Linked DNA regions of Oryctolagus cuniculus. The protein of the gene in region 1 interacts with the protein of each later gene in a biochemical or structural test. Links are inferred from orthologs where the notes say so. Each region holds a gene or a part of one and is shown on either strand. Other genes may lie near its edges. The genes, in order: ATF3 and JUND.

What was found.
Region 2: the proteins of ATF3 (region 1) and JUND form a complex in vitro, tested with the Homo sapiens proteins (2 studies listed by BioGRID and IntAct, with this or other methods). The link is inferred for Oryctolagus cuniculus from reciprocal best matches to the Homo sapiens genes ATF3 and JUND.

The regions. Positions count from the first base shown.
Region 1 is NC_091444.1:27,071,215-27,075,017, forward strand, and holds part of ATF3 (cyclic AMP-dependent transcription factor ATF-3), read left to right. Parts: intron 1-1,902; coding exon 1,903-2,005; intron 2,006-3,803.
Region 2 is NC_091447.1:65,581,626-65,585,445, reverse strand, and holds JUND (transcription factor JunD), read left to right. Parts: upstream 1-1,363; 5' UTR 1,364-1,498; coding exon 1,499-2,527; 3' UTR 2,528-2,662; intron 2,663-2,725; 3' UTR 2,726-3,269; downstream 3,270-3,820. UniProt on the Homo sapiens protein: Transcription factor binding AP-1 sites.

The DNA.
Region 1 (3,803 bases):
AGCCATCACCAATTATGGTGCTGAGACGCAGGAAGGATGGTGGTGTCCTCTGGGGGCAGACAGGGGCAGATGTGAGCAGGAATGGACATAGGTGAGGTGCTAAGCACTGCACGGGATGGTCTATTTCTTAACTTAGGTGGTGGGCTCTTGCCGTGTCTTCTATTCTTATAACATATATATATATATATATATACACACACACACACATATATATATTCTATGTAATCATCTGTATGAATCTACATTTTACAATAAGACATATTTTTAAGAAGAAAAATTATAGTAATAAAGACCACAGACTATTCCAAGCAAAAGAACAAATTCCAAAATTTCATGTAATGTACAATCTATTTTAAAATCATATGCACGAGAAAAAAAGACTGGGATGAAGCACACCAAAATGCTAATAGTGTTGAAAATATGGGTAATTGCTTCCTCTTGCCTGTTCCCCAAATTTTGACATTGGCAAAAAATTATAGTAAAATTTCCTCTAGGGGAAGGTACTGTGGCACAGCAGTCAGGCCAACATTTGGGATGCCTGCATCCCACCTCAGAGTGTCTGGTTCAGGTCCTGGCTGCTCCATTTCAGATCCAGCTTCCTGCTGGTACACACTCTAGGAGGTGACGGTTTGGGAGCTTGGATCCTTGCTGCCCGCATGGAAAACCTGGATGGAGTTTCAGGCTCCTGGCTTCAGCTTACCCTAGCTCCAGCTGTTGTAGATATCTGGAGGATGAGCCAGTAGATGGAAAATATCTCTCTCTCTCTCTCTCTCTGTTGTTCTATTTTTTAAAAAGTTCATGGAAAAGTGCATTATTTTTAAACAAAAAATGAAAATTTCCTCTAAAGGAGTATTTAAAAGTATGATTTTAAAAATTATTTAGCCGGAGCCGTGGCTCACTAGGCTAATCCTCCACCTTGCGGCGCCGGCACACCGGGTTCTAGTCCCGGTCGGGGCACCGGATTCTGTCCCGGTTGCCCCTCTTCCAGGCCAGCTCTCTGCTGTGGCCAGGGAGTGCAGTGGACGATGGCCCAAGTGCTTGGGCCCTGCACCCCATGGGAGACCAGGAGAAGCACCTGGCTCCTGCCATCGGATCAGCACGGTGCGCCGGCCGTAGCGTGCTGGCCTTGGCGGCCATTGGAGGGTGAACCAACGGCAAAGGAAGACCTTTCTCTCTGTCTCTCTCTCTCTCTCATTGTCTACTCCGCCTGTTGAAAATAATAATAATAATAATAAAATAAAATAGAAAAAAATTATTTAAAATCACTTTTGTATTTACAAGTATTTCCAAAAAAGTTTGTGGGAAATAGAATTAAAAGATAAGCTTATTGCATTGTAAAAAAATTTTGAAATACATGCACAGTTTTTTCATAACACACATTTTTTATGGGCTTTTTGAAGACCCCCAGTGCTATCTCATTTGATTCCTATACTAACACTGTGGGGGGAGTCGATGTTAAGTAGTCCCATTTTACAGACTGGAAAACTGAGACAAAAGGTTGATGATTTACATGAAGCCACTCTGCTGGCAAGAGGTAAACCTGGGGGTGGGCCCAAGGCTCCTGCGCCCTGCTAATCCTCCAGATGCCCCAGGATCCATTCTCTTACGTGGGGACAGCTGCTACTTGGGGCTGGTCCCTGTGCTCCAAGGTGGGTGTCCATGGTAGTTGACAGAGGGCTACACACAAGCTGTCCCCAAAGATGTAATCCCTCCTCTGTGGCAAGGCACCAAGTCCTTGTGTGTAAAACTCCTGGGAGATGTTGAGGGGGAGGGCACAGTCTGGCTGAGAATCAGGTCGGACAACATTTCTGACTCTGGGTTTTGGAGGGGAAAGGCAATTGTGGGACCGGGTCTGGCTTTGTGTGATTTAACACCTCCCCTGGACACCTTCTTTCTCCCCAGCTCTCTGCACGGACGTCACCAGAGACTCAACAAGGTGCCTGTGGCACAGGATCTGCCTTCAGGACCCTCAGAGCTCAGCCCAGGGACCCTCACTTCAGAAAAGGTGGGAGCCACAGAAAGGGAGGGTCTTCCTGCAGAATGCCATAGGCAGTGCCAGACCGAAACCATCATACTCTGTTCAGAGTCCAGTGTACTTTGCAGGGCCACCACCCAGCACCAGGGAAAGCCCCAGGGGTGTGCTGGAGCTGCTACAGGTGGAAAATGAGGACTACTCTCACGGTTTTCTCTCTGGGGTCCTCTCCCTGTCCCTCTCATGACTGTCACCCTAGGCATGGCTTGACTGCACCCACAGCTATTTCCCCTGATGGGAGGGGACAGGGAGCTGTGGGGGAGATTCAGAGAGTACCCCCAGGAAGCCCACCCTGCTTTATAACTAATGATGCCACAACAGAGGGCCAACTCTGCCCCATCCTCAGGGGATCTTTGCCAGCAATCTTCTGCACTGAGTGCGACCGTGGAGGCCATTTTTCAGTTGCGGGAACTTCAGCCTGCAGAGTGAAATTACTTGCCCAACACTGCATCCAGAACCAAAGCTCCTCTCACCCTTCTGAGCTCACTGGGCTGCCCAGAGGCTGCCCATTTTGCAGACCCTTGCTTTAGAAAGTCCCGGGTTCAAACTGAATTTGGGGAAAGTAAGACTACTGAGAAATACAATGGAGGAGAAAGAAACCCAGCCCGCTCCCTTTGGAGGTGAAGAAGTGTGCTGAGCCAGGCAGCCGGGACTGCCACTTTTCCTGCTGTTTAACTTGTGTTTCTGGAGCGCTGTGAGCAAACACAGTCTTGAAGTCTGGAGTACAGAGGAATGAGGGAGAGGAATGTGGGAAGGGACCGTGCGCTGAACCAAGAAACTGCTAAGACCTTTAAATATCTCTTGAACTTTTTCTTTCCTTTTCTTGCTTTTGGCTCCCTGCAATGTTTTGTGTTTAGCTCTGGTTGCCACGAGTGGGCTGTTTTTAGCTGCTTCGTTCCTTCCCGTCTCCTTTTAATTTTTTTCTCCCTTCCTTTTGCACAAGCCCCAGCATGAAGTCTCCAGTTCTTATCTCACTCAGCAAAAACAAACCAAGGCTGATCTGAATTGTGGAATCCCCAGGCGGCTCTCCAGGGAAAACCTCTGCAGTAATCAAGTCTCCTTCGCTGAAGATTAACCCCTAACATAACCCTAACCAGGACCTATCCGAGGCGGGAGAGACGTTGCTCGCCTTTGTGGAGACAAGGGGTTTTGGAGCGGGGCGCTTCCCTTGCCTCCCACCGGCACGGCACAGCCTGTGCGTGTGATGAGGGTGTGACCCTGCACACTGTGGGCATCAAGTCAGGAGCGAGGACGCACGAGGCTCACATACGGGTCATCCTCCCCGCCCCCCGCTGCCGCCGTGGCACCGACTGCGGGTGCTCTTCCCTTCTCCTGCCCTTTCAGTCTCCCTCCAGGTCGGCGGGCGCTGATTTCACAGTTTTCCTGGGGAAAAGAGGGGAGGAGAGCAGGTAGAAGTAGTTTTTGTTGTCCTTGGATACTAAGTTTCATTCAAGTCGGGGCGGGGAGGGGGGTGGCCCGACTTCTCCAGCGAGATTCTTATCGCTCTTCAAGTTTCGGGAGGAGAGCGGGCAGGCAGTGCCCGCCTGGGACTCCCTGTACGCAGCCCATACCGCCTCCACCGCCTGCGTGACCTGGAGATGCGAGCCTAAGTAAGAGTGATGAGAAGGATCAGGATTGGTGGGAGGAGCTGCAGGCACCGCGGTAACACAAACAAGCCGACGAAGCATAGCGGACGTCTCTGGGGTCTTCCTCGCCCTCCCCTCGCACGCTTCTGTGGACGCCGCTCTGTATGTTCACTGGGTGCCCTAAC
Region 2 (3,820 bases), on another chromosome or scaffold:
AGGCTTTCTTTCCCTGGGGGCCGCGTGCTGCGGGCCGCGTGGGTGTCCGGCTGTGCCAGCAGCAGCCTGCCCCAACCAGAGATGCCAGTCCCGGGCCGGGCCGCCAGGGTCGCTCCTGCCTGGCCCGTGTCCCCATCACCCCCCTGGGGGGCTGATGAGGCTGCTGGGAGGAGAGGCGCCCGCCCTCTCGCCCAAGCCCCTGGGGGCGAACCTCACCTGGCCTCCCCCAGCCCTCTCCTGCGCGGGCTGCACCGTGGTGACCCGAGAGAGCTCCCAGCGAGCCCCTGCTAGGTCGTCCTCGGTCCACTTTCAGGAGGGGGAGACTGAGGTTCACAGAGAGAACACAGGCCCCTGAGGGTGCCCGCCCTGGCCAAGGTCCACGCGCACAGGGCTGGGGCTGGCCCCACCCACCTACAGCTCGCCCAAAGTCCCCCCACGCCCCACACACACTCCGGGGCGCAGGGCCACTGGGCAGCACACACAACACGTGCAAAGGCCCAGGGGTGGCCAAAGTTCAGCGAGGGTGAGAGGAGGTCAGGGGCAGCCTCCCGGCCCGGCTAAGGAGTGAGCTCCCTCCCGGGGCCAGCGCGGCTCAGGGCGGGTGGGGAGCGTCCCTGGGGTCCTCTGTCCCCTCTCCCTCCCACGCCTACCCAGCCGGCTTAATGAAGCCCTCGCCACCACGGGGGCCCTGCAGGCAGGCAATAATTAGTAGCTGGGACTCCTGCTCATCCGCTTCGCCCTGGGAGCCGCTTCAGGCCCGGGCAGACCCAGGGTTAAACGCGTGGGCGGGGCCGGGGTGGGGGGCCCCCTCCTCGGCTCCCCCCAGGCCCTGATGGGGACGCCGCGCCCTCCCCCGGGCCGCCAGGTCCCCGGCGCACAGCAGCGGCGGGCGGCACCGTCGGAGCAGCGGGGCGGGCGGCGCCAGGGACTTATTTATCCGCGCCGGACCCCCACCCACTGCGGTCCCTGGAGGCCGGCGCCGCCCCCGCCCGGCCCGGGCCCACGCGCGTCCGCGGGGCGGGGCCTGGGGCCGGGGCCGGGGCCCTGGGGCGGGCCCATCACGCCACCCGGGAGGCGGCGCCGGGGCAGCGGCCGTCCGTCCAGCTCGCCTGCCCCCCGTCCCCGGACGGCCAGGCGGGCGGAGGCGGGGGGAGGGGAACCAGCCCGGGCGCGCGGCCCCGCCCCCATGACGTCAACCCACAAGGCTGCGCGCTGTTGTGCGCTGTACCGCGCGTCGCCGGGGCAACGGCGGCCGGGGCGCGGCCCCGCCCCTGCATGCAAATGAGGACGTCGCCCTGGCCCAATGGCGAGCAGGGGCGGTGAGCTCATCGCTCGGGGCCGAGGCTATAAGAGGGCGCCCGGGCGGCGCGGCGCGGGAGCCGCCGCCAGCGCAAGGCCGGGCGCAGCGGCCGCGGCCGGGGCCGAGCGCACGCGGGGGGCCGAGCGCGCGGGCCCCCCGGGAGGCCGCGGCCACTGCCCCTCCCCGGGGCGGCGGAGCATGGAAACGCCCTTCTACGGAGACGAGGCGCTGAGCGGCCTGGGCGGCGGCGGCGGCGGCTTCGCGGCCCCGGGCCGCCCGTTCCCCGGCGCGCCCCCGCCGGCCGGCGGCATGCTGAAGAAGGACGCGCTGACGCTGAGCCTGGGCGAGCAGGTGGCGGCGGCGCTGAAGCCCGCGCCCGCGGCCCCGCCGGCGCCCGGCGCGGCGCCCCCCGACGGGCTGCTGGCCTCGCCGGACCTGGGGCTGCTCAAGCTGGCCTCGCCGGAACTGGAGCGCCTGCTCATCCAGTCCAACGGGCTGGTGACCACCACGCCGACCAGCGCGCAGTTCCTCTACCCCAAGGTGGCGGCCAGCGAGGAGCAGGAGTTCGCCGAGGGCTTCGTCAAGGCCTTGGAGGACTTGCACAAGCGGAGCCAGCTGGGCGCGGGCGCGGCCGCCGCGGTGGCTGCCGCCGCCGCCGCCGCCGGGGGGCCCTCGGGGACTGCCGCGGCCGCCGCGCCCCCCGGCGAGCTGGCCCCGCCGCCCGCCGCGCCCGAGGCGCCCGTCTACGCGAACCTGAGCAGCTACGCGGGCGGCGGCGGCGGCGGCGGCGGCAGCGGCAGCGGGAGCGGCGGGGGCGCGGCGGGCGCGGGGGCCGCCTTCGCCGCCGAGCCGTTCCCGCCACCCCCGGGCGCGCTGGGGCCGCCGCGCCTGGCCGCGCTCAAGGACGAACCGCAGACGGTGCCGGACGTGCCGAGCTTCGGCGAGAGCCCGCCGCTGTCGCCCATCGACATGGACACGCAGGAGCGCATCAAGGCCGAGCGCAAGCGGCTGCGCAACCGCATCGCCGCCTCCAAGTGCCGCAAGCGCAAGCTGGAGCGCATCTCGCGCCTGGAGGAGAAGGTGAAGACGCTCAAGAGCCAGAACACGGAGCTGGCGTCCACGGCCAGCCTGCTGCGCGAGCAGGTGGCGCAGCTCAAGCAGAAGGTGTTGAGCCACGTCAACAGCGGCTGCCAGCTGCTGCCCCAGCACCAGGTGCCCGCGTACTGAGCCGGCGGCGGGCGCATGCGCGGCCCCCGCGCGCGCGGGGCGGAGCGGCGGGGGCGCGCGGAGGCCCGGGGGGCGCCCCGGAGTCGGTACCACGGCGCGGTCCCCGGAGGGAGCGCCCCTGACTCGGAGACCACGGTGGGGCGTCCCGGACTCGGAGACCACGGAGGGGGGGGCGCCCCGGACTCGGAGACCACGGAGGGGGGGGCGCCCCGGACTCGGAGACCACGGCGCGGCCCCCCTCCCGCCTCTCCCAGCGGAGCCCCCCTCCCGCCCCGCCCCCCCCCGGACTCGACAAGCTGGACCCCCTGCTCCCGGGGGCCGAGCGCAAGACCCCCGCTGCCCGCGCTGCCTCGGGCCGCCCCCCTGCCCCCCGCCGCTCTGTGCGCGGCGCCGCGGGCGAGGGGCGCATGCGGCTCCTTTTACTTTTATTTTTTTGGTTTTTTGTTTTGCCTTTGGAAGCGAGGAGATCGGAGTGTGCGGTTCCGCCCTATTTATGTTTCTACTCGGGAACAAGCGTCGGTTGCGTGCGTGCGTTTTCCTTGTTGGTTTTTTTTTTAAAGAAATGGGAAGAAGAAAAAAAAAAAGACCCCGCCCCCTCCCCTCCCCTCCCCTCGCCTTCCCCCCCGCCGCCCTTTTTTTTTTCCTGGTTTTGTTGTGTGTTGTTCCGCTCCGAGCCCACATTCCTGTCGCTCTCCCTGGGTCCGCCCCGTGTTCTGTTTGCAGTAAAAGTCTCCGTTCGCCAGCTCGGCTCCGCGCCTCCTCCTTGCCCCCCGCCCCCGCCGCGGGGCGGGGCCTGGCCGCCGCCCCGCCCCCCGCCGCGGAGGGGGCAGTGGGCGGGCCGCCGGCAGGGCTCGGGGTTGGGGTGGCTGGCGGGAGGCGGTGTAGACGGGGGCAGCCCCGGGCCGAGGCCGGGAAGCTGCACAGGCCAATTTTATTTGATTTTTTGGTAACTTTGCGCCGTGGGCCTCTGCTTCCCTCTCTGTGCAATGGGGGGACCACCCTGGTCTGGCCTGGCCTGGCCTGGGAAGCCCCGGGGTTAGGAGCCGGTGCCCAGAGGGTAGGGAGTCTGATGGCTGGGCTTGGGGGTTCCGCGGGGCAAGGGAAGACAAACGGGGGTGCGGGGAGGCGGCGGGGTGGGGGGCCTGCCTCCGGGCCTGGAGGCGTGGCCACGCGGCCGGCTGGAGGGCCCACGGAGCCTCCCCGGCCTTCGCGGGTGGGGCCCCGGGCTTGTGACTCACTCGGGGACCGGGAGACGCCCCCGGTCTTGGTGTGACGGCCCCACCCCGCCCGGCC